Linked DNA regions of Mytilus edulis. The main gene of each other region encodes a partner of the protein of the gene in region 3 in a complex. Links are inferred from orthologs where the notes say so. Each region holds a gene or a part of one and is shown on either strand. Other genes may lie near its edges. The genes, in order: serine/threonine-protein phosphatase 4 regulatory subunit 2-A-like, serine/threonine-protein phosphatase 4 regulatory subunit 1-like and serine/threonine-protein phosphatase 4 regulatory subunit 4-like.

The links.
Region 1: serine/threonine-protein phosphatase 4 regulatory subunit 4-like (region 3) and serine/threonine-protein phosphatase 4 regulatory subunit 2-A-like share a complex: the UniProt entries of both Homo sapiens proteins name them as parts of the PP4 complex. The link is inferred for Mytilus edulis from reciprocal best matches to the Homo sapiens genes PPP4R4 and PPP4R2.
Region 2: serine/threonine-protein phosphatase 4 regulatory subunit 4-like (region 3) and serine/threonine-protein phosphatase 4 regulatory subunit 1-like share a complex: the UniProt entries of both Homo sapiens proteins name them as parts of the PP4 complex. The link is inferred for Mytilus edulis from reciprocal best matches to the Homo sapiens genes PPP4R4 and PPP4R1.

The regions. Positions count from the first base shown.
Region 1 is NC_092344.1:52,045,299-52,055,913, forward strand, and holds the start of serine/threonine-protein phosphatase 4 regulatory subunit 2-A-like, read left to right. Parts: upstream 1-5,455; 5' UTR 5,456-5,572; coding exon 5,573-5,609; intron 5,610-5,743; coding exon 5,744-5,825; intron 5,826-7,761; coding exon 7,762-7,932; intron 7,933-8,571; coding exon 8,572-8,665; intron 8,666-9,558; coding exon 9,559-9,596; intron 9,597-10,615. UniProt on the Homo sapiens protein: Regulatory subunit of serine/threonine-protein phosphatase 4 (PP4). May regulate the activity of PPP4C at centrosomal microtubule organizing centers.
Region 2 is NC_092348.1:29,192,344-29,202,546, forward strand, and holds the start of serine/threonine-protein phosphatase 4 regulatory subunit 1-like, read left to right. Parts: upstream 1-5,746; 5' UTR 5,747-5,811; coding exon 5,812-5,818; intron 5,819-5,905; coding exon 5,906-5,950; intron 5,951-6,195; exon of another isoform or gene 6,196-6,327; intron 6,328-6,434; exon of another isoform or gene 6,435-6,562; intron 6,563-8,686; coding exon 8,687-8,798; intron 8,799-9,067; coding exon 9,068-9,174; intron 9,175-10,203. UniProt on the Homo sapiens protein: Regulatory subunit of serine/threonine-protein phosphatase 4. May play a role in regulation of cell division in renal glomeruli. The PPP4C-PPP4R1 PP4 complex may play a role in dephosphorylation and regulation of HDAC3.
Region 3 is NC_092346.1:31,242,886-31,252,997, reverse strand, and holds the start of serine/threonine-protein phosphatase 4 regulatory subunit 4-like, read left to right. Parts: upstream 1-6,093; 5' UTR 6,094-6,581; coding exon 6,582-6,733; intron 6,734-10,112. UniProt on the Homo sapiens protein: Putative regulatory subunit of serine/threonine-protein phosphatase 4.

The DNA.
Region 1 (10,615 bases), on a different chromosome or scaffold from region 3:
AGGACAAATTCCATCATCGGTCAGCAGTATTATATACTTGGTGTGTAGAAGCTAAGAGAACATGACCACTGGAAGTATGTTGCACTTTAAAATTCTTTGAATGAATGGGACAACTTGTTTTACTTACACCTGTTCCAGGTAGAGGAATCATGAAAGTCAACATGCCTCTTTGCTTCAATCTCAGTAAATATTTCAGTAGCAGATATCTTAATATTGTCTTCTAAATATATAAGTCAATGCAAATTACCTTAATATTGTTTGACCAAATATTTTGGTTCTACACGAGTTGTCCCGCCGTGATACAGGTAAAACGGGGTTCACTAATTAGCGACAAGAAGCGTCAAGAAGCGACAAGAAGCAACAAATAGATTATACATGCTATTTAAGATCCAGCATGATCTTATAGATATAGACCGTCACCAATATTTGACCCCGAATGATAACCGGACCAGAGGTAAAAACCGCTTCTTCCAAGAAAGAACAAGTACAGACACCTACGGCCAATCTTTCTTCCCGAGGACAATCAGGGACTGGAACAACCTACCAACATCAGTTACAGCGACCAACACCGTTGAGGGATTCAGAGCACAGGGACTCGGTTAGCAGATTAAAATTGTGCTCATCAATGTTTTTTATATTTTTTTTTAGTATATCCTGTCTATTTGTATTACTTTATTAACATTTTTTGACGATGCCATCGATATTTCTTTGTTTTCTAGCAATGTTTGTATTAAAGAGCATAAAAATGAAAATAAAAACAAAGATTTTTCACCTTTCCTTTGAAGGAGTTATTGAAACAAAAACATGAAATATTATTTCCTTTCTAACTGTATAATTAATTTTTCCTGATAGGACCAACGTTAGCTGTGGCTTCACCCCAAGGTAATACACAATGTAGAACATCAAATGAGATTAACGAGGCGCGTGTCTCTTGCCGTTTAATTGCTACAATAACATCCAATTAACACCTTCAACTTTGTACACGCGTCAGACTATACAATTACACGCGCTAGAATATACAATCATTGTAAACAGTGAACACCTGTTGAATTAATATTGTCATTAATTTCCTTTAATCTTCAATCAATATGCATAAACATGATAAATATCGTTAAATGAGGCAATACACTAAATAAAATTATGAAAAATATTCACATTTTAATTATGTTTTCGTCTTGTTTGATTTCAGTTCTTTGTATTTCACAATTTGTGTCTGCATTTTCAAGACAATGATGCACAAATAAATCATTTTGCAAGCTTAATATTACAGGGGCGTAGCTACCCGGAGGCACGACAGCACGTGCATCCACGTCGTTTTCAAAAAAAAAGCAGAAGAGAGAGAGATGACTGAGTTGGTCAATCGGAATCGGAGACTGTTGGTGTCTTTTCCGTCTATCCCGGATATTAGTTTGACAACCTAGTTACAAGTGTTGATGAAGCTGTTCATTCAGAAAAAGGTCGTAGCTCCGAAGTTGCGTGCACATTGATTCGGCATGCAAAACAAGAAATGACAAAATAAAAATTTATAAATTGAATGTTAAGGCAGCAACCATTTGATTTTCTGGGGGGGGCTATGGTTTTTTTTGGAAAAAAAAGTTTGTTTCCAGTTTTTGGAGAAAAAAATAATTTGTTTTTGATTCTGAGAAAAAAAAAATTGTTTGTTTCACCCTCAGCTGCCACTATATGTAACGCTAAAATTGAAAGAAAAAAATTGTTTTCGACTTGTCGCGAAAAAAATAGATTGTTTTTCGCCACAGGCGAAAAAAAAAGTTTGCACAGAAAAAAAAACCATAGCCCCCCCCAGAAAATCAAATGGTTGCTGCCTAAAGGAAACACCTATGTTGTCACTTTTTTTTAATTGATGAAATATCATTAAATAACGACATTTGGTTTCAAAATATTATTTTTTTGGAGATTATGACAAAATCGGAAGGTTACTTGTATCTTTTACAAGATTTTTACTTTTGAATTTGTAATACTCAGTCTAAGCAGAGACATATACTAATTGTATTATATGTCTCTGGTCTAAGATATGTAGTTTTGGAGCACATTTTACAGTGTACAGTTCATCAGTTTGGAATGAGATGTACCAATCGGCATTAGAATTATCAGATCCCTTCGATATCGTTGAAAATATAACCGGAAGAAAAGTGATTTCAGGAACTTTTACTATAATTTGCAAAGTGCTTTTTTAGGAACTCTCGTTTGAATTGAATATGTATATGAACTCTCGTTTTGAATAGTTATATGAACTCTCGTTTCGAATAGTTATATGAACTCTCGTTTTAAATTGATTATTTCTCGTTTTAGTTTTAAGTTGAATATTTCTTGTTTTAAATGTTTCTTTATTCTTAAATATAATGTTTCTTTATTTCATATACCCAAAGAGATTAATTATAGATTTACTATTTTACAACTTAATCCGATGGCTAGTGCGAAACTTACACTCAACTTCAAAAGAAGCAATTATCGTTATTTTGCTAAGTTGAGCCGGAGGACAATAATCCTATTATTATTACATAACATTGGACAATTATATTTACAAAATGTATATTTTATGAGAACCTTTTATAATGTTTTAATACCCTTATCTTTGACTTAATTTATGTTTTGTAAACTGTTGCTGGGACAGTCTTCCCCTAGCTTTCGAACTGTACACTTGTGTTAATAAATTTGTATATATTTTTATACGGTCTTGCGTTTAAAGCAGCCATAGTGTCGATTATAGACCTACAGACTTTAATGTAACCCGTGCCGAAGTTCACGGACTTATGCCGGAATTTCACGGGGTTATAAAAATATGCCGAGGCGATGTGGTTGACAGACTACCGGAGCCAATCACCCTGTAACCACGCCAAAACAGTATTGGAAAGTCTCATTATTTTTTGCGTTCATAGACCATATGATAAGGCAACTGAAGAGTGGAGTCGCGCCAAGTTATCAGAAAATCGCTTCTTTGTGCTGTATCTGCTTCATCGCGTTGTAGGAAATATCACAAACGAACAAATCTCAATATTGTCAGAAACATACGAAACTGACGAATTCAATTGGGAGATCGTTCGATGCCGAACACGTACGCTGGTTTATAACATCTCGCGAGTGCTACCATGCCATGATGGCCCTGAGATCTATCAGTCACGGTACTACGCATGTAATTGAAAACAAATGTACGATCAACAATGAACAACGAAAGTTACATAGCATTACTGCATATTCATGGAATTCAGTGTGAATGTTGACAAAGTAATAAAGAAGCTTGTTTCTGCCCAGACCCGAAGATCAGATTTTGGACAATTTTGAGTAAATTCTGTATCACAAATATGTGTTGTTTATGTATTACTATATTCAGAAGATTTATTAATAGCTTCACATTCATAATTTTTTATCTACACATAGCTCCTCTTTTAACCGTCCTATGACCGAAAACTGAAAAAAAATTCTGCATAATAGGGTCCCAATTTTTTTTCTCACAGTTTGTGTAACTGGTACTTTAAAATTATAAACGCTATATTGAAATGGAAACTGTCGAAAAGCAGGGCCGTAACTACATTGTGGCAAATGAGGCAAATGCCTCATGTTGAAAACTTCAAAAAAAAAAATGAAACAAAAAAATTGTCTTCATATCAAATTGTGTTCACGGAAAGTGTCTTGCAAAAAAGAAAGTTCTCTTCACTCTCTGCTGTCGTCCCTGCATGTTTTTCGTGATCCATATTTCTATTTTACTTTTAGTTTTGTTTTCAGAGTTGATGGTCTATTGTTTGTTATTATGTGTCCCGGGTTTGTCTTTTGTTCATTTATTGTCCTACTTTGTGACGATAGTCTGAGGGTTAATTTCCATTTGTAAACGTGTGGTTTTGCAATGTTGCATGTTAACCGATGTCCAGACATTGTGCGACAAAAATATTTTAAGAATATACGATGCTACTGGACACAGAAAAAACTGGTCGTTTCTGCATGGGGCATTGAACTTGATATCAAAGAATACAAAACTGACTCTTTTTGTAGATAAAACTAAACAGCTGACATGGATTAAATTAAAGTAAGACGACCAATTCATCGGTATCAAATCATCTATAAAAAAAAACATCACTGTATAGCTATATGACCTTTTACATTGAAGGATTAAACTTGCATTAAGTCTTGTTAACAGAAAATAAAGGAATATGGAGAAAACGTACACGGGAACTAATCTCACACAAAGTCAATGCATAGAAAAAATACAAATGACCAATGTTCAAAGTTTTTATTCCTGTTCTTCATCTTGGTAGTAGACGGAGGGTCTTCAACAATAAAAGAATCATTAATACCGTAAAACAAGGTCAAGATGGTTCTTAGTGTCGACTTAGGCAGTACTAGTACTTAAAGTATATTACTGCACTGTCACTATGTTTAAATCTAGTCATTATAAAATCACCAAAGTCTAAGCACAATACAAAACAAGAACAGACAGACAGACCCGGTTTTTATTTCATGAGACTTACGATTTTTGCTTTATCCTACACATCGGTCTGTTAATGATGTTGTCTCCGTAAAACCTAAAAGTCCCAAATTACAATGAATCTACGTTTTTGCTTTGAGACCAGCATATTGTCGGAGAAAAATGGCTAAAATATTAATTGCGTTTCAATGTTAGAAAGAGTCTGGGAAACGCTCAGAATGCATGATTTTGCGTTATTTTTCTCAAAGCTTCTGGGGGTCCTAAGCGGTCCCCAGAACCCCCCCCCCCCCCTCCCCAGACCCCTCGCCGAAAAAAATTCGCCTCGCTACGCTCAGCATATATATTTTGCCTCACTATTAACAGAGGCTAGTTACGGCCCTGAAAAGTGATAGAATATTTCTCTTCGTGAACATTTAGTGACTTTTTTACCTGTTTTGGGGGGTTGTCTCTTATGTCAATATACATGGTAAACAGATTTTCACGTTTTCAATGATATTTGGATTTTTGATATTTTCAAATTTTGTTCGCATCGCTCCGCTCGGCGGTAGTAGCTAACACATCGTTTCGTTCTAAAACACAAGGAAAAGTAATCTCATAATACAACAGCCTTTTCAGGGTAAACGTAATGCTAGCTGTTATACATAATAAATGATAAATACCATGTAAATAAATGTTTCAATTTTTTTTCATCAATATTTACCTTTCTTGTCGCTAGAATTGTTTTCTTTTGCATATTCTTTTAATATTTATTTGGAAAAAGTAATTTTAATTAAAAAAATATGTTTTCTTGTCGCTTCTTGTCGCTAAAATAATTCTTCTTGTCGCGTCTTGACGCTTTTTGTCGCTTAAATTCTTCTTGTCGCTAATTAGTGAGACCTAGGTAAAAGGGAAATCCTAAAATTGAAATTAGGGGGTTTAATTATTTCCTTACGCCTACCATGGCAGTAATATAGTTTAAGCAACACGTTTCCTAGGTTTAAATTTTTATTCAAAATGCATTCAGTGCAATTTTAAAGCAAATTTATTGTAATATTGAATTATCGGAAATGAACTTACCTATCACCCCCAAAGAATGAAATAAGTTGCGCCATAACGTCATTTCCGTGCCGCCATTTGTTGACCTCCAGTTTGAGAATGGAAAACAAAGAGGATATTTTAGACGCTTTGAACGGTAATATATCACAAATTAATGACTAAAGATAAGCAATGACAAGTGTAGTATTGAACTACACGATAGTACTCTGTTTTGAATTTGATTCCTTAAAAAAAGACGTGAATTTAATAGTACTTTATTTTTTCTTTCAGAATTTGAGAAGAAACCATGCACAGAAATCCCTCCATTGTTAGACCAGTATCTGCATCAAGTTGCAAAAACAGGAAAAACTTTGTATGTTTTATTATAAGATTGACCTAGGTTATATGTCGTACTGTAGTCAATATATGCATACTTCATTTGACAATTGAAGCCCCCCACCCCATGGCAAATTATCTCAAGATTAAATAAAGTTATCAAATCATTTAATTGACATAATGTCAATTAAATGATTTGATACCTTACCTTGGCTTTAAAATTAGTTTTTAGAAAACCTGAGTTTTGGTTTGAATAACTGACCAAATCATAGGCTAAAGGAGAACAAATAACTATGGCGTAGGAAGGTGTCAATGAAAAAGTAAAATATTAATGCCTCTCAAGACGCTTTCGAGACGTTTGACCACAAACCAATCCAGCTAAACACCACTTGGGCATTGATCATTTCAGTTCGTTAAGAAGTCTCAGACCCGGTTGTGATGTCACTGCAGATCTGAGAAGTGTTTATAGTCATCATTTTGTAACATAACTTCATCTTTATAAAAAATCTAAATTTGATGTCATATCCTTGCTCTACATGTATTTATTGATAGGGACAGAAATAATGAATTGTATACATGTACATGTAGCAACAAACTTTCATCTTCTCACCGTTTGACTCGCCATAGCCAAACAAGATGAGGCCGTGGACTCACCATCAAAATTCCTTTAATAGTGAGAACCCTGATTAACCCTTTCACCGATAGCTGCCCAGACTGAAGCTACTCTGAGACGATGGCTTCCCTGGCTACTATTACTTAACCCTTTCCTCCATAGTGACACCTTTTGACGCCACCCCCTTTACTCCATAATGACGCCTGTGTAGTACCTCTGTTGAAACGCTTTGACTACAAAGTGTCTGCAGTTGACTTAATAAAATTTGTATCCAATATGAAAAGGAATAACATAGGAATATCTGACTTAAATTTATTTGAAGAAATATTTGTTTTTCGCAATGCATTAATACTTTAAAGTATATGTTCAGCATTTTATTAAAAAAATCCTATGCGAATCAAGTATGCAAAAAAAAAATTTCAATGGAGGAAAGAGTTAAGTTGGAGATCTTCATATTAAATGTCAATAAAAACTTGTTTGTAGTTATTTGTGTATTTATTTTTTTCACTAACACTATGTTCACAGTTTTGTTCATGTTTTGATAATTTTTCTTCATAAAATATTCAAATTTTCAAATTTTCGGCATTATCTAGGTGAAATTATCAAAATTCTGCTCTTTGACCCCAAGTTGTAATTTTTTAACCCAAAACGGCAAAATTTTGAAAAATTTTACTAGGCTGTACAAATTCCTCACACTGAACGATGTCCATTCCAAGTGTTTCGTACATAAAACAACATTTTATGTCCAAAAAGTATACTAGTTTGGCTTCAATTCTTCCATATTCTTTCAAAAAAAATGTTCCCTCATTTCAAATTCTCGTAAATTCAGTAAATTTCCTCTGATTTTGACACAGTTTTCAACATGTAGAAGCGCCATGTTTACACTTTCATCCGGATATTTATCAAAGAAAGATAACTCATGTTAGCACTGTTTTGAGCGGGAAATATAAAAGAGGTATTCCGATTCCCGGTAAAACGGGACTCATCGTCAGCTGTCTGAAGCGTGAATCCCGGTAAACCGGTACTCATCGGCGAAAGGGTTAGGATACAAATATATTATTTTTTTTGTTTTAACAGAAACAACTCAAATTTAAACTAAGTTTTCTAGTGCCCATATATCCGCGATCGGAACCTGCACTATGTAACATACAGACAAGACTGAAATCATAAAGATGCTTGATCATTTTATTGACAACACAGTTTGGTACTTTTAATTTTAAACTGTGGAAGATTAATAACTTCCATTGTCCTCAGTTTGAATGCACATATAGTTGAAGATTTTTGGAGGTCTATTTTTATATGCAAGAAATTGAAAAAAGTCACATGTACATGTATAATTTTATAATACTTATTTTTTCAGATTTCCATGGCATCAGCTGAAAAAGTTATTTGTGGCAAAAGTTGATCTAGTCATGACACAGTTCAAGGAGACCAGTCCAACAGACTTATTGCAGACAACACCAAATATTGAGCCAGTAAAATATGACGAAATGAGAAGGAGAATCCTGTCCTTAATGGATGAATTTCAAGGGTAAAAAAATCCTAACCTACGATTTTGTCTCATACAAAATTTCTCAGAGATGATTAAACATGAAAATGTCATAAGTTGATTACATGAAACTGAGGTTTGGCTTTATAAGGAATAAATTTGAAGCCATTGTCCTTTGTGTCAAAGGGGAGGTAATCTCCCTTACTTATATATTGAAATATGTGGTAATAATCTCTTTATGATAAAATTGAGGTTTTGCAGAATTTGACATGGTAGTAAGTCAGGACGTTTTGTATTTTAGTCATTTTCATGACTTTACACTTACATGTACAGCTACAACTGAAATATAAGTGAACCACTGACTTCAAAATGAGTCAATTGTTATCTCTTGGTTTCGAAAAAGAAATCAAATGCCTGAAGTGGATGATAATCAATCTGCAGAACACACCCTTTTATAGCTAGAATAGTTCAACATTTTATTAAATATAATGACCCTTTAGAAAAAACCTGAATCAATTGTAATAATTGCCATTTTAACAGAACATCTAAAGGTTCAAATCCTAGAAAAGGTCTATTGTGAGAATACGATACAATGTACCAATATATAAGTAGAGACCAGGGAACTTAATTGGGGATATGTAATTTTGATTTAAGTTATATTATTCTTATTTTTACATTTAGGGCACCATTTACTGTTCAAAGGCTTTGTGAATTAATCAATGAACCAAAAAGGCATTATAAAAGATGTGACAAATTTTTGAGAGGCATTGAAAAGGTAAGACATTTAAGCTCACCTGGTTCTAAGCATTTGTTAGTTACCAGTATATCATCTCCATTTGTCCACATCCATTATACCAAACTTGTTTTCAAAACAAACTTTTCAATTATAATAGTAGTACAGATGAGTTTTTGTGTAAAAAAGTATTAAAATAATTTTCAATTTATTCTTTCAGTCCTGTATGTTCGGATGCAAGTACATTTATAAATGCAAAGATTTCAATATATTTACTTTATCAAATTATTTGACATGTTAGATTTAGAGGACACATCCCCAACCCATGGTTAAATATAAACAAATCTATAGCTGATAAGTATAATTTTGATTCGAATAGGACAAATATAGTAATTTTGCCAACCATGAAAACCCTATAAACACAATACTGTCCTGACTATAATAACAAATAAAATAAAATCACTTTTTTTCACCTTAAAATATTCTTTTTATCTTATTTTAATATTATATTCTGAGGGGAACAGAAGCCTGAAAATAAACATTAGAGATAACAGTATTGTATTTGAAGCTTGGCCTACGTAAAACTCAGTTTTCAATGTGGCAATTTATGTTTACCTGGGCCGAGGCTGGTGGTACACATGATAGACAGATTAGCCAATTTTCTGTATCAATGCATTTGGGCTAAAAGTAGATATTCGGTGATTACACTAGTTGACCATATATATGGGTTATCATATTAGAATTGTTTATTTGTGATCTGATATGTCACTACAAACACACATAAAACCAACTGAAATATGCTTAGCATGCAATTTGTAAAATATAAGTGAAGTTGTAAGCAAATTCTACCTCTGGTTTTTGTGTTACAATAATAGGATTTGCAGTTTAAATTCTTTGACATCTTGAAAATAATTAAATGCACTGTTTTCTTTCAGAATGTGTCAGTGGTGACTACAATAGATCCATTTGGCAGGTAAGTTATATAGTACTTAAATCACTGGAGCATAAATCATAACACTTGATGCAAACCATCACCATGACGAAAGCTATTAGTTCATAGACCAAGTTACACTTTAGACTTATGTTAGTTCTCTTAACAATCACCATGATCACAGAAGCAATCAAACAAATTAAGTATAAATGAACGGTTACTTGTCATATATTAACTTTTATTGTGACTTTGGTGATGGTCAGCCAACCAATAAAGCTTGCAGATGGAATCTAATTTACTTAAGATCCTGTTGAAAAAAATTGGTCAAAAAGAGAAGTAAAAAACTAAGAACCAGTGTAATACCAAAAAAAGTCACTTATATGCCAGACTTTTATAAATAAATTAGCACAACCAGAAAAGAAAAAAAAATATGAATAATATGAGGCAACTACTTTTGAGTATATGAAATACAAGCTTGGCAAGTTAAGTATTGGCAAAACTAAATCTTGTTATTTAAGACTGTGTCTGGCAAACTGGAAAGGAGTAGGTCTGGTAAGGGCCGATTTTGGCCTCAAATTTCAAGTTCATCTGACGAATGATTGTAGACCCTTTTTAAACACTTAAGTGTCTATTTCAGTTGATTCAATAAGTTTATGTAAAAGATTTTAACTAATTTACTCATTAAAAACGCTCTGATTCTAGCTTAAATATGAAAAATATATCAAATATGCCCAAAAATGTCACTTTTCTGTTGGTTTTTGTCAAAAATGAAAGTGGCCGCATCCGCGTCATCCACAACCTTTATATATGTTATGTATTATCATAAAATACAACTTACATTTCAATATTAATAATGAACACGAATGCGGCCACTTTCAATTAAGATGGAAACCGTCTAAAATTTAACTAAAATGCTAAAATTGTGAAGATTTCAGTAATTTAGCATGACTTAATGATGCTGGCGCCCGATATATGTGCATTATATTGTCAAAAACAGCCCATATTTATGTAGCAGAAGCATTTTACTTTCCAATGAATAACTAAAAGTTTACATCTTAACA
Region 2 (10,203 bases), on a different chromosome or scaffold from region 3:
CAGTTTAAATGGCTTGATTTGCCAATTGATAATGTTAACCCCGGTAGCAGTGGGGATAAGGCTCTCGCTTACGATGCGGATATCAATGCAATCAGACCAGGCAACGGTTCGAATCCCGTGCAACGACGGTTGATTTAAATAATATTAAATAACTTAACTTAACTTAACTTAACTTTAAATAATATTAAATAACTTAACTTAACTTAACTTAACTTGATTTAAATAATATTAAATAACTTAACTTGATTTAAATAATATTAAATAACTTAACTTAACTTAACTTAACTTAAATTTCAATTTCTAAAATACAAGAGGTCATAGTTTTTGTATTTTCCCTCATGTTTTAATGTTGTCTTTCTTTCCTTAAACCGGTAAAACTAAAGAAAATTATTGACTTTTGTGTCTTTAGTGTCGTAAAATTTTAAGTTTCTGGTCGGTATAGCATTAGTCCGGGGAACAAATGATTTTACACTTGCTCAAATACCAAAAATTCAGATATTTCTACGTCTTTTGCTGTTTTAATTGACAAATTCGGGATAGAATTGACAATCTTATGAATGTTTACATTAATGTAATTTTTTTTGGATAAAATCGTTTTTCAAAAATATTATAACAAACTTTGATAGTTTGTCCTGTAAAGTTTACCAAAAGGACTTTTTGTACCTTTTCGCATGGACTGGCTCATATTACTTAGCATATAGTTTGAAAACATGACAAAGAAATAAGTGATAGCAGTTTTAGGAAACTATAAACATTTAAATGAATGGATTAACGTGAACTATTGATATACCTTCATCCTTTACTTAATCTTGTTATCAACAGTATTGTGGATAAGTGAGATGCACTATTAGAATCTCTTAGTAGTTACACTGAAATCCATATTTAGAGTTGCTGATGTTATTCCTTCTTCATATTTTTCAGTTTCCTCTTTTTCTGTAGATCTCAATTGTTTTTATCATCTTCCAAAACAATTAAAAAGGAATAAAACAAATAAGAGATGTACACCAGTGAAATTTTCAAACCGCAGTCGACAAAGCCTTTATGAGTAGACGTACTGTCAAAACTAGAGGCTGTAACTTTGCTTAAATGTTTCATTTACCCTTTTTGTTTTCTCAAAAATCCGTTTTTTTTTCTCCTTTAATTTCAATTATATTTATGTTTTTCTGTGTCATTCTTACATAAATATACTAGAAACAAAAGTTGTTTACGATTTACTATCAATTGTTAGTTTAGTATATACTGACAATGTGTATATTTTGGATAATGACAACTAGATATGGTATTCTAACATGACGTCCTTCAAACGCTTTGAGTACACACCCGTGGTAAAATATGAATATATTGCCAGTGCTGTTCCGATTGTACTCCCACGTCATATGCTTTTTTGTGAATGAGATACCCGACGTCATAGAACAATGACGTTAGAATGTAAGCATTTTACGGGAAAATACACGCTTGTGAATCCGAAATTCATCACAAGGAAACATACACAAATGATGCTAAAATGTGGCAAAAGCCCTTTATTGTACATCATATAAGACATATAAATAAATTATCATTCAAATTCATCCAAAACTGTCTAAATACATTATTTTAAATAGTTTAAGCATGTCACTAATGCAGTTTGCTCCGTTCTTTTACGCTATAGTTTATTAGTGCGTTTATTTATGGGAACGGCAAATATTTGCCTACACCTAGAGCGCTTCGATCCAAAAGAATTGCCGTATGTGTCCTATCAGAATCGAAATAATTCATGGGGGCTTGAATATATCTAGATTTTACCACGGGTTGTCCCTTTATGCCGATATTTTACCCCTCGCTATCGCTCAGGGGTAAAATATTTGTCATAAAGGGCCAACCCGTGGTAAAATCACGATATATTCAAGCCCCCATGAATTATTTCTTAAACAATAATTGTATTTATAAGTATCATTACCAAACAAACTGTTTATTCATTCAATTAGAAAAATGGCTTGCTCCACGTGCAACTTTCTAGTGGACCTTATAATAATGAAAGCAAAAATTGTAGCACTGAATTATGATAATATTTAAAACCTATGGTTTAGAAAATGGACTAGTTTGGAATGGTCCTGTACTGTTTAAATCAAATGCGTAAAAAAAATATATACTAGTCTCAGGGTCTGAATAATGATAATGGAACTGAAAATGATACATTTCTTCTGATCAAGCAGTTAAAATCAAACTTAACGTGTCAGTGTAGTACAAAGCATGATATCTTCATATCAAATGGATCTGCTACCGTCCTGAATAGAGCATTATATATAAGGGTTGAGATCTCAAAAACATATTTAACCCGGCCGCATTTTTGCGCCTGTCCCTAGTCAGGAGCCTCTGGCCAGTGTTAGTCTTATATGATTTTTTATTTTAGTTTCTTCTGTATAATTCGGAGTTTAGTATAATAGTATATATATTTGTTTAGGGGCCAGCTGAAGGACTCCTCATGAAGTTTCTCGTCGCCGATTGAAGACCCATTGGTGGCCTTCGGCTGATGTCTGCTCTGTGGTCGGGTTGCTGTACGTCTCTTTGACACATTCCCCATTTCCATTCTCAATCTTATTAATCAATCTGTCTTTGTCCGTCTTTTTCTGTTAATCAAGCAGTTACTAGTACCTAATTTCAGATATTAGAGGCAGCAAACACAACTCATTTAAGCAAAAAAGTAGAAGACGAAAGGCATGTTTTATTAGATTTTCCCCTTCTTGAAATCTGTAGAAAGCTATCTTCTAATGCTCTCAATTATAAATATACAAATTTTATCAACCTTAAGCTCTCTTCAGCGAATACATTTTGATGGTTTTAAATTACTAATGAAGATAGTTGTTTTAAAATATCAGATATAACAGAAAATCGGAATTCATTAAAAAATCCATATATTTGGTTGGCCATTATGTAATTTTTATTTCACAAATGATTATAGACATACTCCCGTTGTCGTACATTTCAACTTATTCAAGACAAGTCGTTGATTGTATATATGTACTGCCTAGTTGGTACATTTGCACAAAATCTGCCATAGTTTTGGAAACAACAAACATCCGCAATAGATTAGGATTTTACAAAACTGGCCATAGATTATGATTTTAAAAAATTTGCCATAGTTTTGGGATAGCATGACGTCATATTTACCATATATTAGGAAACTGCCATAGATCTGGAACCCACCATAGATTTGAGTCCTACATATATATTACATATTATATAACTCTCTGCTTAATCAAACCTGGTACAGTACTAGTCTCAGATAAAACCAACTGAAATGTGAGAATGGTGAAGTTATCTCTTTTTGTCCAGACAAATAAAAAAGATTAAGTTTTTAATGCAGATTTTAGTTTGTACCTAAATGCAAATTTCCAGATCAGACAGGGAAAAAAGAAAAAAGTTAAGATAAACAAATAGAGTTATTCCTCTTTGTACGGGCCTCCCCAATCATGTAAATATTTTAATAATCATGTTTCCATATTTATTTTCAATCATATTCAATAATTAACAATCAGTATGTATGTAAGATTGCATGTGCTGTTTGTGTGGATATTGTAAGAACTTTGTGATTTGTGTTTATTTATATCCTTGTGGGCCCTTTGTTTAGGAATAAAGATATTTGAATTTGAATATATCATACCCAGATATCTTCAAAATAAACTACATTAATGACGATTTTAGATGACTGATACGACCAAAACTTTTTATGGACTTCAAAGAATGATCAAATCTGAACCTTGGTTTTTTAATAATATTGAAATTTATAAAAAGAGAATTTAAGAAAGGTTTGTTATAAATTTTGTTGGTACCTGAACACCGTGAATACTGCCATGAATACGCAGCGGTATCGACCCAGCGCTAGAAAATAAGAACAAAGCTTTAAAATTTTGGTGTGTCCAAATAGATTCAACAGAAACGTTCAAGCCAAAGGATGGTAACGGGAAGAAATAACACGTGTGACTGCTCAGTTTTTCATTTTGCCTCGTCTCCCATTTGAAATATCGAAATATGCGAAGAAGCAAGTATCTTATTTGGAAACTGTTCTCAGGGAATACTAGAACTAAATACTTATTTAAACCAATTTTCGTAAAGACAAATATCTAATCTTAGTTACTATTATAACCGTCGCGTTTCGTAGAATAGAACTGTTACAAAATTCGGCACATCATTTTATATACTATTGATAGAACGGTGGAGGTTAATAGCAAAGATTGAAAACTAACATATGTATACTTCCTTGGTTCCTATTCATACCGAGCTAATACCGTATTCAGTGAAGTTAACATTCAGCATTTAATGTAGTAGAGGACTAGATTCAATTTTTATTCTCTTGTCGTAATTCATCATAGACATAGTGACAGCATGCACAAAACATGCAGGAAAATATAGATAGACCTATATTGAATTTGATCCGTTCATATATTATCTGTGCACATTTTATTGCTTTGTGCACAGGCACTTGGGTCATATAATGTCATATTGTAAGGTATATATAGGATCAATCTATCTTATGTCATTTCTTTGTTCTCGTAATATATATCAAGATTTAACGATTATAATTGTATAAATGTTAGGTACCAAAAAGTGAATTAATTAAAATACCGAACTCCTATGAAAATTCAAAACGGAAATTCGCTCATCAAATAGCAAAAACAAAAGCTCAAACCCATCAAACGAGTGGATAACAGCAGTCATTTCCCCCGGCGATTTTGTACGTGCATTTTCTATTGTAGAACAAAAGTTACATGGTTAATTAAATCTGGTTTTAAAGTTACTAAACCTCTCACTTGTATGACAGTCTTATAAAATTCCATTATATAGACAAGGATTTTTTTACACTTATGCCGCAATATAATGTCCAAATTAAAAAAAAATTGCCGAGCGTTGCTAGTCACTTTTTAGCTATATTCTGGTTTTTTTAAATCTCGATCGGCAAATGAAAATGAGGGCGTATGGTGTATATATCATACTTTTATATATTTGGTGCATGAATGATCTTATGCATACAATTATGGTCATTTGTCTTCATAAAGTTAACTGGATTTATGGATTTGTTGAGTGCCTCATATAATTTCGGACAACGAAAATATGACAACACAAACATATTTTTCAACTCAGGCCAAGTTTTATAAGAATTGATTTACTTAGGCCGAAACAATATAAAAACGGTCCAATTAAAAGTCCTGCGTTGAAAAAAGATACGTGACACCGAGAAAAAAAAAGTTAAGATCAGGCAAATAATAAAGAATAGAATGTTGGGAACCAATACACCCTTATTGGGGCCCCATATTAAGAAAATTAATGAATTATATATTGTGCTTTTAAAATACATTTCAAACGTTTTATACGAATGGAAATTGTCATAGTTTAGTCGAAATGGACGAAATTATATCTGTCAATTCATCTTTCCATGCATAAATCAATTGATGGAAATAAGCCCTAATTTCAAGTGCGGAAGCTTATCGGGCACTGACTGCCTAATCACACACAATGCCAAAGTCCTTTGTTTTCATTTTATTATTCAGATAAACGTTTAAACAATTATGTTTCAATCCATTATATGTAGTTATGAAAGACTCCAAGGACAATATTCACGATAATCTGTACCCAAAAACGTGTATAATTCCATATAAAATGATAATCAAATTGTGAATGTAGTTCGCCATTCATGCACATATATTACCGAACACGTTTACGACGGACATCGGAATCATCCGAACAACAAAAAATTCCCTAACCAATCAATCAGAAGAATTTTACAGTCATCGACCAATCAGCGATAGTTTTACAAAGTAGCGTGCTCCTTTCAACATGGCGGGTGAGTCCACCTCATTTAATAAACCCTGTTCTATTTACGAAATTTAAACTTTTCCGCCTTTACTGAAGTAATAATATTATTTTTCAGATATTGACTTTTATGGTGGAATAGGAGACGATAACGGTGAAGAAGGTAAGTTATGTTTACATCCACATTTTTGTCATTGTTTATCACTGCAGAGCACGGAGATGACAAAATGTCCCAAGTTCTGAGATTATGATATCCTTTCGCGTCCACTTTCAGTGTTCAACATTTTGAGGGCTTTATCAGTATGTCCGATGTATGAAATAATATTCCTTACAAAATATATAATGCAAAATTTCGTTTTATGTATTTGTTTTGACACGACACGTGTAGTTTAATTCGTAAATTCAAACATGACGCCAAGATTTGTAGAATCAATGATGCCATGATTGTGATCACGTGATCTGGGTTTCCCCCTAACCCCATGACCCAAGTTCCCGCGCACGATTCCCATTTGAATTTGGTGGCGTGTTTGTGAAGGCTCCGTAAGTATTTTAATTATTTTAGCTACCTGGAAAACAATCGAGTGCTATATTGCTAATTGAAATTGCTATTAAACTTAATGGCTTAGTCATGAATGAGTAATGACAATGCAGTGCGTCATTCTTGTTGAATAATGGTAAATAGGTCACGCTTCCAGTGAAATCTGTTGCCAAAATTTATCGTAATGGAGGGTAGCGAGAGCGCGCCAAAATTTTTTGGTTAAATTTTGACCAGAAAGTAAGTTTTGTTTTTAAAAAGATTTTTTTTTTCAAAGTTTAAAAGAACTATATGTCGGACTTGGATAGTTTCATGAACAAAGAAATTTCCATTGTTGCCATTTTTCCAATGTACAGGAAGCATTTTATAAAGTGGAAATTTGTGCAAAGCACGCTTGCAAGGCAATTTTGTTTAGACGAAATCCAGAGTACTCAATGTCGAAAAATTGTCTATATTTGACATGATGTTGATGTTACTTGTTGGTTTTTGTTTGTGTTGTGTAAATTGCTATTGTGTACTAAAATTAATTAACATGGCTTGACATTTTGTTGGTTGAAATTAAAAATTATTCCAATACACATACATGTACCTGAAATATACAGACAGTACCTAAGTATTTCTTTCTCTTCCCAAACATGCCCTCAGTTAAATTACTGTTAAAGTTATTGTTTTCCAAAATTTATTTGAAAATAGTGTGTTTTCTTGTGATGTCGACATATTTTTGGAAGACTACATAGTACAAATACACCACTGAACTGTACCAAGGTTGTGGAAGTTTGGCTGCCCCCCTAACATGTCAACCCCCACCACACAAATTCTATGTTTGAATGTTCCGAGTCAGGAGCCTGTAATTTAGTGGTTGTTTGTTGCTGTATATCATACATGTATTTGTATTAATTCATTTTTTTCAACGTAAATCAGGCTGCAAGTTTTCTTCTTTGAACTCTTTTTACATTTGTCGACTCATTCCAATTTCTTTAATGGTATGGGTTTTTTTCATTGCAATTTTAATTCAGCTCCTTGTTATTTAAGGGCAGAAAAATCAGACTTGAATTTCCTGAAGTGTATAGAACAAAGATTATAACCTCCCTTGTGCTTGATTTCTCCCATTGATAATTGTTTACTAAATTAACACAAGTACTAGTGAGTTCATTTCTTGGAACTAAAAGAAGGGTGACTCAACCCTCTTTCTGCCAGAGGAACACATATGTCCATGGTTCAATTTATGCAAGCTTCTCATCAATGCAGTATCTCTTTCAATTAAAAGACCGAAGATTAAACAGTGTTATGTTTTTCTCCAATGGGTCCCAAATGTAACGGTCATTATGTTGTGGCGTCATATATTGAATGATGTTGTTGTTTGGCATGTTATGTCACAGACGTCAGGCTGTCATATTTTCCGGAATATGAAATGCAACCTTGAAGAAAGGTTGGCAGCAAGAGGGTAAATAGAGGTGAATCCTGATCTTGATTACATTACACTTAATCCAGATGGTCTAAAAATGTATTACAATTTTAAATATCAAGCTCAAATTCAACAATAATTACATGTAAAGCACTGCAGCCATACTTGTAAACTCCTAATACTCCTGAAAAACGTTTGAAATTCAAGTGAATAAAAGAAAAGCAACCTCGATACAAATGCTATTGTTGTAAGTGATCAAACTGAAATGTACATAGAAGTGCAAAGTACTATATTTGTTGTATGGAAGAGTTTGTATTTGGATCTAGTGCCAAATAATTATGACTTTGATTTGTTTTTATTAACAAAATTCTGACATTACCATGGGATAAAATATAATTTATAATTGCTGCAACAAGTCTTCATAATAAAATTGACATGCTAGGGTCAGTGTTCCTTTGAAATATCTTATTTCATCATGGTAAACAGTCAATTTTGAAATGTTAAAAGAGTTTCTAGAAATTAAAGCCTTGTATCCGTAACGCTATTTATAATAAAGAGGGGAAAAAATTGGTAAAATTGACATGCTAGGGTCAGTGTTCCTTTGAAATATCTTATTTCATCATGGTAAACAGTCAATTTTGAAATGTTAAAAGAGTTTCTAGAAATTAAAGCCTTGTATCCGTAACGCTATTTATAATAAAGAGGGGAAAAAATGTTAAAGAATCGCATAAATATGACGCTAAAAGGCCCTTAGAACACTTAAGTTTATGGGTTATCATAGATTTTTTGGAAAATATTTGACACACAAAATTAACCATTGAGCACAAACAAATTTTAATAGAGGCACCTTAAAAGCCCTACTATCTCTCTGCCAATTTATTCTTGTGACCATTGTGAAATGAAGACTGCAGACATGGGATATTAAGCCATGCCATTTGAAATTATAATCTATATTCTAGGTTTTGGACTCGATGATGATTTGGATGGGGAAGATAATTACAACACAGATGATAAACTTTCACCTCTACAAAAATTGGAGAAATACATGCAAAGTGACAATGTCTACACAAGGTTAGTCGGTTGTTACAAATATTGATGCAAAAGAAAAGTTACTTTTTTTACACGATTTCTATATAAACCTTTGGACTGCAAAGTTTATTGTGTTTTGTAATCTGAAGGACATGTATTTTTCTTGTAATCTTATTTAACAAACATTTTTCTATTGAGTGTCCTTAAGTGGGTTCGTGAACAATTATTAGATTTCAATTAAATTGGTTGTATACAGAAATAGCAGAACTGAAGATTTCATGTTAAAAAATAAGTGCATTTTTGTTCTGTAGACAAATGGTTGCTCGTGGTATGTTGGATACAATTCGAGCAGTGGAAGATGAGGAAGAAGATTGCACACCTGTTTTGGAAGCTATGGTGAAATTATCGGAAGATTCAGGTATGTTATTTGTAAAATAAGAAACCATGCAAAATGAGCTTATTCTCATATTCATTTAGCTATCTTTTAGAATGAATAAATCATACACTGAATGTGACATTTTATGTACATTACTCTGATGTTTTAAACATTATTGTTGCTAGAATGTAAAATCCACAATGTATTGAATCAAAATCGTCTGGAAAAAGTTTTAAACATTTAAATCTGAATCAAGTAATTGAATAGGCTTTAAGATATCTAGTGATTTGAGAAAAATGAATAAATAAAAAAAGAAGGTAAAAGGGGTTAGGCAAAAAAAATATATGTCTGTTTCTTGCTTCTGACCGACCCTAGATTTTTTTTTAATTCCGGAAAAAAATCGTTTCTGATCCGTATCATACTATGCCCAAACAATAAAAGTTGCTGCTCCCAGCACAAATGTGCTACAATTAAGGTTTAAAAATGTTGGCACTAGGAGGAGAAGTCAATTAAAGCTTCTAAATAGAGATTTGCATACTTTTGGGTACAGGAACCCAACCAAACATGACATTGAACCAACTGCAGGGAGTGCAAAAAAGAAAAAACAAATAATTAAAACAAAAAAAAACCCCGACCTACCATCCCTGATTTATTTACCTTGGCAGTAGGAAACAGACATATATTTTTTTTTGGCCTTTGTTCAAACAATTTTAAGATTTTGTTGTTTACTTCTTACATCAGATGCTGAAATATTTTGATTTATTTTTCCCAGCATATTCTGTTTAAGAAATTGTTCAACTTAACCCTTTCACCGATTGCTGCCCAGACAGAAGCTACTCTGAGACGATGGCTTCCCTGGCTACTATTACTCAAGTGGGAGATCTTCATAATAGATGTCAATAAAAACTTGTTTGTAGTTATTTGCGTATTTATTTCATTCACTAACACCATGTTCACAGTTTTATTCATGTTTTAATAATTTTTTCTTCTTAAAATATTCAAATTTTCAAATTTTCGGCATTTTCTAGGTGAAATTTCAAAATTCTGCTCTTTGACCCCAAATCGTAATTT
Region 3 (10,112 bases):
TCTTCAATGCAGCGAGAAATTTCCGCACCCGAGGGCGTCCTTCAGCTGGCCTGTAAACAAATATATACTGGTTCAGTGATAATGATCGCCATACTAAACTCCAAATTGTACACAAGAAACTAAAATTAAAATAATACAAATCTAACAAAGGCCAGAGGCTTTCGACTTGGGACAGGCACAAAAATGCGGCAGGGTTAAACATGTTTATGAGATCTCAACCCTCCCCCTATACCTCTAGCCAATGTAGAAAAGTAAACCCATAACAATACGAACATTTAAAATTCAGTTCAAGAGAAGTCCGAGTCTGATGTCAGAAGATGTAACCAAAGAAAATAAACAAAATGATGTGCCTCTTTAAATTTTTGCAACCAACCTGAATTATAGCAAATTTTGAAAATGGAAGTCAGGAATGATTTAAAGCACAAAATAAAAAAAAAATATTGTTTCAATATTTTTTTAATTGACCAAAATCATAGTGTTTCTATTTCTTGCAGTCAAATGAAGAACTTGACAAACTAACAGTTGATGAAAGGCTCAGTGATATTGAGAGAGCTGTTTATTTGCTCAGGTGAGTGTAGTGTGAATTTGAAATAATCTTAAAAAATTATGAATATCATCAGGTAATGATATTTTTATGTTATATGTTTTGGCATCCAAATTTTATTATTGTTTATCCCATCAGTAATCAATTTGGTTGAATGCAGAATATGTAGGACCTATAAATTAATGTTTTATTTTATAAATTGTTACTAGGAAGTTGGATGGAGAGTTGTCTCATTGGCACTCATACCACATCTTCTTACAAATGTATATCTATGTAGGTCATATATATGAGATATTTCCAGTTGAAAATTGATTGAATAAATGTAAAGTTAGGACAAACTGAAAGAATGAAGAGGGGGTTTGAATGCCTGATTAGTCCATTTTACCCACTGTTTAGGCATGTGTAAACTATAGATAGAGGATTAAATGTACGTTGTATGTTATTTAAACAAAATCACTCAAACACACAATGTTAATGTCAGTAAAATAAGATGTGTATTCAAATTCTATTCATAAACATGATGTATGATCACATTTCATACCTTATCTGATTTAAGAATGCACATTTTACGTGAAAAAAAATTGTCAAAGATGCCAAGGCTTATATTAATGTGAACATGTACATGTATGTTCATCATAGTCACTGTCTGTTCTTGTATGAACAAAACTTGAAAATCAAATATCCTAAAGTTTGATATAAAAGAAGGTATGATTGAATAATGTAACTATTTACATGTCTCATGTTTGTCTCTTTGTCACATTGACCATTTCAACTCTAAATTTTATGTAGCTATCTATCAGAGATCAATGGACTAAGATGTCAATAAATATAGGTCACCTTCAACAATAAACAAAACTTATCAAAAGGCCCTGACATGACAAAATGTGAATCTCTTAAAAAAATTATGTTGTTGAAACACTTGTAGTTATATAAAATTGAGAATGGAAATGGGGAATGTGTCAAAGAGACAACAACTGTATTGTCAACCTGACCATAGAGCAGACAACAGCCGAAGGCCACTAATGGGTCTTCAACGCAGGGAGAAATATGTATGATTTCATTTTGCGATCAACATATGCCATTGGGTTGCTGTCATGTAGACATGTAAAAATGTACCCAACATCTCTCTTTTTATTCAAACTAAAAAATACCCCCGTATGTATTCTATTTACAGTACCATTTTACTTTCTTTTATAATAAAGTTCCTCAAAGGGTATAATTATGAAATTTATTTTAAGAATATTCTAATCAACAAGGAATGGGGCATTTAGTTATGTAATTATAAAAAAATAATTGTGAACAAGGCTATGGAAAAAAGTGAGAAGAAATTTCCAATAGAGAATCATAAAAGCTAATTGTATGTCTTCAAAAGTAATGAAAGTTAACTGTTTAGTCTAGCTGAGCTATAGTGTTAAAAATAACAGAAAATCGAGAAATGATGAGATTTGATTTAAAAACATATAAAGGAGGGTTGGCCGTCATCAATTGAAATGAAAATAAGCTTTTAAAGGTAAATAAATTGCATTTGAAAGCGTTATATACTTTTATTTTCTGAGGTTGTTGTAGAATAAAGATTTAGTATGGTGTGAAATACCGTTCATTTTCCTTTTGTGTTCTATTGTACCGCTATTTGGCAAAATACACGAATATATTATAAACATAGCTATTACCATAATCTGTACATTCAAAATATTATATTTATATTTGATTAACAGTTGGGGTTGCTCATCACAAAATCCTAAAATACATGACATTTATAGTCCCTTTTATACTTGTGCTCTCACGGAGAAAAAATGGCTGTCAAAGATTTATTATAATATAGGTAGTTTAATTTGTGTGTTGTTGATCACAGGAAAGGAAATTAGAATTAACTGGTGGTAGTCTGACACTGGTAGCCCAGTTTACATTTTTGGTAGCCTAGTGCTTTATGATAAAGCAATATTATGGAAAAAATTACTATCCCAGCTCTTATTTTAGATGCAATGGTCTTTTGGGGCCATTCAAATTTCCTTCTCTGGATCAGAAGCATAATTCTCAAACCTTATTTGTTCATGACTGTAAATGTTTGCAACTGGTCAGATTTAAATAAAACAGGATGTGAGATCGATTTCATTTAGACAGCCGTAAACAACACAAAATAAAACAAATAATACTTCAAGGGTGATCTTACTTTTCTTCAACAATGAGTTCCCAAACCATTCTGTTGTATTCTGATTTAAGAAAAAGTTGATTATTTTATTTATTGTTAAAATACATGAAATTGTTCTCACCAGTATTTTCAAATATGACTGGTATATATATCTGAAAAGCACTGTTACCTAAGAAATTCATTAAACACCAAGGAAAAAAAATATAATTTTATGATAGCACTATAATGCCCTAAGGCCATGTGGAAAACCCTATGAACTTTGTGAAAGCTTAAGTTCTTCATTTGCACCTTTAATTAATTGCTGAAATATGAATAGCCATCATTTTATTTTAAGAAATCTTTCGGTAATCCATGTAGAAATGTAGAAGTTAACAACTTTCAACAGAATAAGTTTAACATTGCATTATCACTGCTGTTAAACGTTCCAGTACAAATTAGTTAAAGTTGACCTCTCAGTTCTGAGTTAATTTGAGTTTTGTTGATGAAACAGATTATAATTGGTATGGAGTATCAGTTTCAGCATTGATTTCTGGGTAATTTTCTTTGTCCGAGACAGGATATCACAATGTTGGTGCTTTTCACAACTTCCTTAATTACCCACCTAATTGTTAGAATCAATATGGTTTCCCTAACTAAACATCGAATGCCTTTATGAGGATATTTTTATAGTGTTTAGAAAATGTAATGAACTCAAAACTAATAAAATTATCTCGGTTAAGTACCAAGTTATATAATTTGGACTCGTAAAGGTGTTAATAAATTTCTATGAGTCCTAGTGTTTTGCATGTATACCGAAGGGCCATAACTATAGATTAAAGAGTCTGAACAGAATCTTGGGTGTGAGAAATAAATTCTTCGATAATTTTGAAAGTCACATGTTGAATAGTATGATCTCAGTCTGGTAAGTGGAAATTTTTTACCTGCATGTTCCTCCCGTGAATTGAAAATGTTATGTTACTTTTGTTTCCCTGACAAAGCAAGGTTGTGGTTCTTTCCCACCAATCAGCCTTCCTCCACCAAAAAAAAACTGTTAGTCTTAAGTGCTGAAAGAGGCAATAATCTTAAAAAGATCAATAAATAAATACACACAGATATCAGTCAAAGTTTTGTTTACAGGAGCAGCTAGATTTGCGTTTCCTCTAGAAAAAAAAAGCCAAATAAAATAAGAAGTTCAAGATCAGTAGGGACCCGAATTCTGAAAGGTTTTGCTAAAAACAGTAGCTATGGTAATCTTCTTGTGGTGAAAATCCAATTAGTATTCATCAGATCTTTTATTTTTTGGGGACTTTATCCTTTTACCTACAATCTGTTACTGGACCCTTTGAGCATATGAAGATATAAATAGAATTTATAACAGTATAACAATCTCAATTGACGAGACAGGCTCAAAAATGCTTTAGGGTTAAACATATTTTTGGGAGATCTCAGATATACTTCTTGACAAAGAAAGAAAAAATAGTTAAAAAAAAATAACCAATTTAACTTGTTTTGACTTAAAACTTTCTGAAACTCAAACATATCTTCACATCAAACTGACCGCCATGAAATAGCCAGAAAGGGTGCTTAAAAGTGGCATTAAAACAACTAAAATAAAATCCTTGAGAGAGAGAGAGAGAGAGCCAATGCCTTTTAACCTTTTTGATACCAGCATCACTGATGAATCTTTTGTAGAGGAAACATGTGTATAGCATACACAATTATATGCCATGTTTAATCTTTGATGATCTTTTAAAAGGAGTTATTGTTAAGAGTCTGCATGATTTTAACAGATCCTGTTACAAGAATATAAAGCATTATTATAGTCAACACAAAAAGTGCTAAATTGATTGATATGACCTAAAAGTATAGGTTATTTTACTTTTTATCATGGTGTGTGTATGTTCATGAGCTCTGCATAATATGATTTAAATACTTTTGATTTATTATGCGGTCCCATGGATTGATTCTCCAACCTTTCAGTTGTGAAATTTAAGATGAGAAATTTGAAATTGAAATTCCAGCCTGAAATTAATCTTCATCAAACGAAAATTGAATTGGGTCCCTGTCTTTACACATTCAATTGAACCTGTACAAACAATTTTCATTATAATTTTCTATAAAAGATGTTGACTCGGTCAAGAATCAAGAAGGTTTTCCTTTGTATTAATGTCAGGCTGTTATTACTTGTGGGACATTAACAGCTCTTAACTTTTATACACCTTAATATTGACAGAGCTTTGTAAATCTATAATTAGGTGTTGACTCTAATTTTATTTTAATAAACATTTTATCTACCTACTTATGCTTATACAAATATTCATTTGAACAGGTCTAACTCTATCACAAATATTTGACAGCTTCATAAAACCATATATTACACAAGGTATGTTAAAAGAGATGACACTTCAAGTTAGTCACTGACCCATCCTTTTTGTCAGATTAAAATGACAGTCGTTATCTCTTGATTATAATTAATTTGACATATACATATATATATCTTTCCAATCAAGATGTTAGAGTTGTCTCCCATGCACTGAGATAATTATTTTCTATAGAATTTATTTGCAAAATGGTTCTTAATTATATAATATTAATTCTTTTTTAAAAATTTTAATTGACAAATTACTTATTGGTAAATTTAACATTTTGTTTTGATCTTGTTTGAAGTTACAGGTGGTCACAAGGTGCGTATATTACAATACATGTAACATATAACTAAGGTCACATGAATAATCCATTACATAATTATAGAGAGAGGAATTTGCAATTGTTTACAGAAATAGAGTGGAATTTGACCTATTGGGTTGTGAACATCCGCTAAAATTGTAATTAGAAATTTTTTTTTTTTTTTTACGATGTGTAATTTAAATAAATACGTAAAAAAAATATAATTTTATATATTTTCAATTTTTTAGTTAGCATTGACTGGCTTGGAATAACACTTCATTTAGGTTCAATTTGTGTTAAATAAATCCATTGGAGACTCAAAAATAAAATTAAGTCTGTCATAATCTGCCTGTCCTTGATATAACAACAAAAATTGAAACTTGTGTGAAAAATTTCATCTTTGCATATAAGCATTGATTTTTCCTTCACACTATAAGGAAATAACCTTCAGCTAGAAGATACAATATTCTATCTATAGAAAAAGAGTGTCAGCCTAGAAATGTTCAAATGACACTGAAAAGTGATACCAAATTTCAAATGCATTGGAAATTTGAGTTGAACTAGTAACAGATGGCAAACATTTTAATGTATTGACATTTAGGATAATGAATGAAAAATGTAATTTGATACACAGCAGATAATTGCTCATATTAATAACATATAGCTTTTAATAGTTTATTATTATATTAAGACAAAAAGTCCATTAACTGGTTGTGATAATTTCTGATCATTTTTGATATCAGTGAATCTGAAAATGTTGATTGTTAACCAAATGTGTAAGGCTTGATAAAGTACATCAGTTTTTGGGAAAGTGATCGACTTACCACTTGAATGTAAAGATTTAGCTCTTAAATTGATCACACAAGTCTGTTCTTTGTGGTGGTGCATTGTGGATAATCTGTTTATATGTTTAAGTACATAATCTGTGTATATAACAGTTTTTCTGATTCATTTCCTGTTTCCACGGAAACACAATATCATTTTTTTCCCCTGTTGGTATATATGTATGGGGCCAGTGACACAAACATTCTCTCGCTATGTGAATGAGTAGCTAGGAATTACATCACTAGTCTGATTACGATACCAATTGTCATTACTTATCAAGGGATATATTAAATTATTAGATGAATTTCTGTGTATTCGTTGTGTTCATCTGGATATATAATCAGGAAAAATGAGAGTTATTAGTGTAATTTCTTGTTGGATTGTAAAATATATTGACACTTTAATTACTTGATTGTTATGGAAGAAATCGAAGTTTTCTCTACAAAGTTATCTAGTACAGGAGAAAATGTTAAACTTTTCTTAGACCACGATTATTTAGAAATTCCAGAAGAGGATATCGAGGATCTTGATGAAGAAATGGGATATGAAAGTTACTACACAATTGAAGAGTATGTATTGTTTTGTTGGTACATGATCCTGCAATTAAAATTTCCTTTTAATAATTAGTGTGGAAAAATTATATTTTAAAAGTTTGAAGTCAATTTGATATGGGTAATTTAGCACCATGTTTAAAAGGTTAAAAGTTGTAATTAGTTTTGAAAGAAGGTAGGGCTCAAATTTTATTTTGGTGCATTCTGAAACAGACATATACCTGTTGTAGTTGTTTTGTTTTTTTCAGGGTCAATTGCATGTTTGGATCAATAACATATTTAGGACAGTCACACCATAACATTATATATTCAAACATGCCCCATATTGAGTTTGATATTTGAGTTTATATTGTTGTTGTAAATAGATCAGGATAGTCAAAAGCACCAACACAATTACTCTTAAATAAAACTTTTAAAATGTTTCTGCTTAAATGTTCTTAAAAATAAGTTTATACATGTGTGTCATGTAGGTATACATTTTTGTAGAAAATTTTCGCATATGGAGTTTATCTTCTAAGTAGATAAATTATTACAATAGACTTAGAAAATTCAGATTTTAGGGTCTTCAGGATTAACAAAAACATATTTCTTGCTAAAATTGTAAAGAAAATCAACCAAATTTCCTTCTAGGTTTGTAATACAACTAAAGGTTGGGTATACATGTACTTTGAAGATTCTATCCTTATCCTGGGGGGGGGGGGGGGGGGGGGGGGGGGTACTGTCTGTTCAATTAGTACTGGGTCCTTGCTAAATCCATCATTGATTTAATAGATTGATCTATATCTTCATTTATCTGACAGGTTTGTACATTAACCAGTACATGTGTGTGTACAGGAAAGATAAATTGCTTCCTTGATTTTGTCAAAACATCTGATACATATAAAACATAGATCTAGATCTAGAATCCATTGCTTAATTTTAAATTAAAAGAAAAAAAAACATGAACAGTTTCCAGATTCAAATAAATCCAATTTTATGACACATTTCTTGGGGGACTCCATAGATTCAATGGCATTGTATTTTGATCGACAAGTCCTTGTTCTATAATTGTTATTAAACAAGTGTTCCTCTCTTTAATAATGATTTTTTTTTCATAAGAATGATGGATCAGTTCATTTTTGAATTCTGGTTCCTTAAAAAACTTTCTATAAACTTGCGAAGAGCTAAAATTTAAAGTCATTTAAGACAGTATATGTTTTTTATGTTTATGTAGAAAATTGCTCCGCACATGGTGATACCAGTTTCATGTATTTGTACAAAGTACTTTATTTTTTATATGACTAATGAACCAAGTTAAAAGTATATTACATCAGCTAGGCTAACCACATTAAAAAATTTAAGTGACAGGTGTTAGTAGTTAGAAAACAGGAAGGGTAAATTTCCTTTAAATTTACATCATACATGTAACATAATAATGAGAAACAAATCTTTAAATAACTCTTCAAGTTTACATCAGGAAAACAAGCAACTATTTGTTGATTGGATGTCTTAAAGTATTTCTCAGGCTCATCCATCAGCCATTCTTATTGAATAACAAGATTTGCTGCTTTTATTTAGATTTAAACATAATGAAATGAAGAAAACTTTTGTAGTTGTTGCAAGAGAGACAATTTTTACATGTTCTGTTTTTATTTTGATAATTTTCTGTCATGTTGTTTGGGTTTATGTGGGCTGATGATAGAAAGCAGAGAGACAAAACAAACTTTTAAGTTGATTGTTAATTCAATATGCAATGTATTAATCAGAATAGTTTCAAGTCAAAACAATGTTTATGGTAAAGAGATATTCTATATATTGCATGGTTTATTAAAACAAATGACATTAACTCCATCACAATTTATATTGCTCATTTATTTTGCTGAACATTAAGTTTTGTTTTTTATTTCCTGTCACTCCATGAAATTTAACCCAGCACTTAAACAAAAATGTAAAATGAATCTTTGAAATTTTGAATTTTTTCCTTTTGTAGTATTAGAGCATCATTTGCTAATGAAATTTGGTGTTTTTTACTATCTAAAATCGATTGTTTAGAAACTAGACCAGATGCCATATTGGAAACTAGATAAGAAAAAAATGAAAATTAATAAATCAATTATTCTGTTTCTAAAGTTTCGCATCAATGTAAGGTTTGAATGTTAAACATGGAAAATTAGTGGAATGATAGCTAAATATAGAATCATTTTTTTTCTACCATATAGTGACCGCCTTCAACAAATTGAAGATTATGTCACAGGAGGAAACTTACAACAAGACATAGATTGGAAAAATGTACAATTTTTAAAAAATAGGAAAAATTAAAAATTTAAAATGTTTTGTATAATAAAGTAAGATGTTGTAATTGAGTTAATATTGATGCTTTGAAATTGAAGATTTGAAAGAGTCGACTGAAGTGCAATTTACAATGTTGTCCGGTAGTTTGTTCCAGTCGGTGATAGTTCTTGGAAAATATGACTCTTTTCTGTACTGTGTTTTGCAGGATGGAATTTGGAAGCTGTTCGAATTTGTATGTCTTGTTTGTCTTTTTTGTGGAATTAATTTATTTTGTTTAGGGATTGCAACCTTTTCGTGTTCAATTTTGTAGAGCATTACCAATCTGGAGTCTTTTCTTCTGTCAGAGAGACTGCGCCATTCAAGATGTTGTAACATGTTACCAACGCTTGAGGTGTTTCTGTATTTGTTGGTAACAAAACGCGCAGCCCTCCTTTGAACTTTTTCAATGCTATCTATGTCTTGTTGTAAGTATGGATCCCAAACAGAGCAAGCATACTCTAGTGATGGTCTTACTAGGGACTTATATGCTTGCTCTTTAATGGATGTTGAACTTATGTTCAGGTTCCTCTTTAGAAAGCCTAGTGTGCTATTAGCTTTCTTGCATATGTTGTTAATATGCACATCCCATTTAAGGTTTGAACTGATGGTGACCCCCAGATATTTTGCTGTTGTTACATGTTCTAAAGAATGATTGTGTAATGTGTAGTTAAATGTGATTGGTTTTTTATTTCTGGTGACTGAAATTACATTACACTTATCTGGGTGGAATGCCATTTTCCAGGTAGTTTCCCACGATGCCAGTTTGTCAAGATCTTTTTGTAGTGTTAATGCATCGGAGTTTGATTTTATTGCCAAATAAACTATTGTGTCGTCTGCAAATAAACGTACTGTAGATGTTAGACCAGATGGAATGTCATTAATATAGAACAAGAAAAGACTTGGTCCAAGAACTGACCCCTGTGGAACCCCTGACTCAACTGCAACATACTCAGATTTTTCCCCCTCTAGAACTACTGCCTGTTTGCGATTGCTAAGAAAATTTTGTATCCAGTAATTTAATTCCCCCTGTATCCCGTAATGATGAAGCTTATTAGTTAAAAAAGAATGTGAAACTTTATCGAATGCT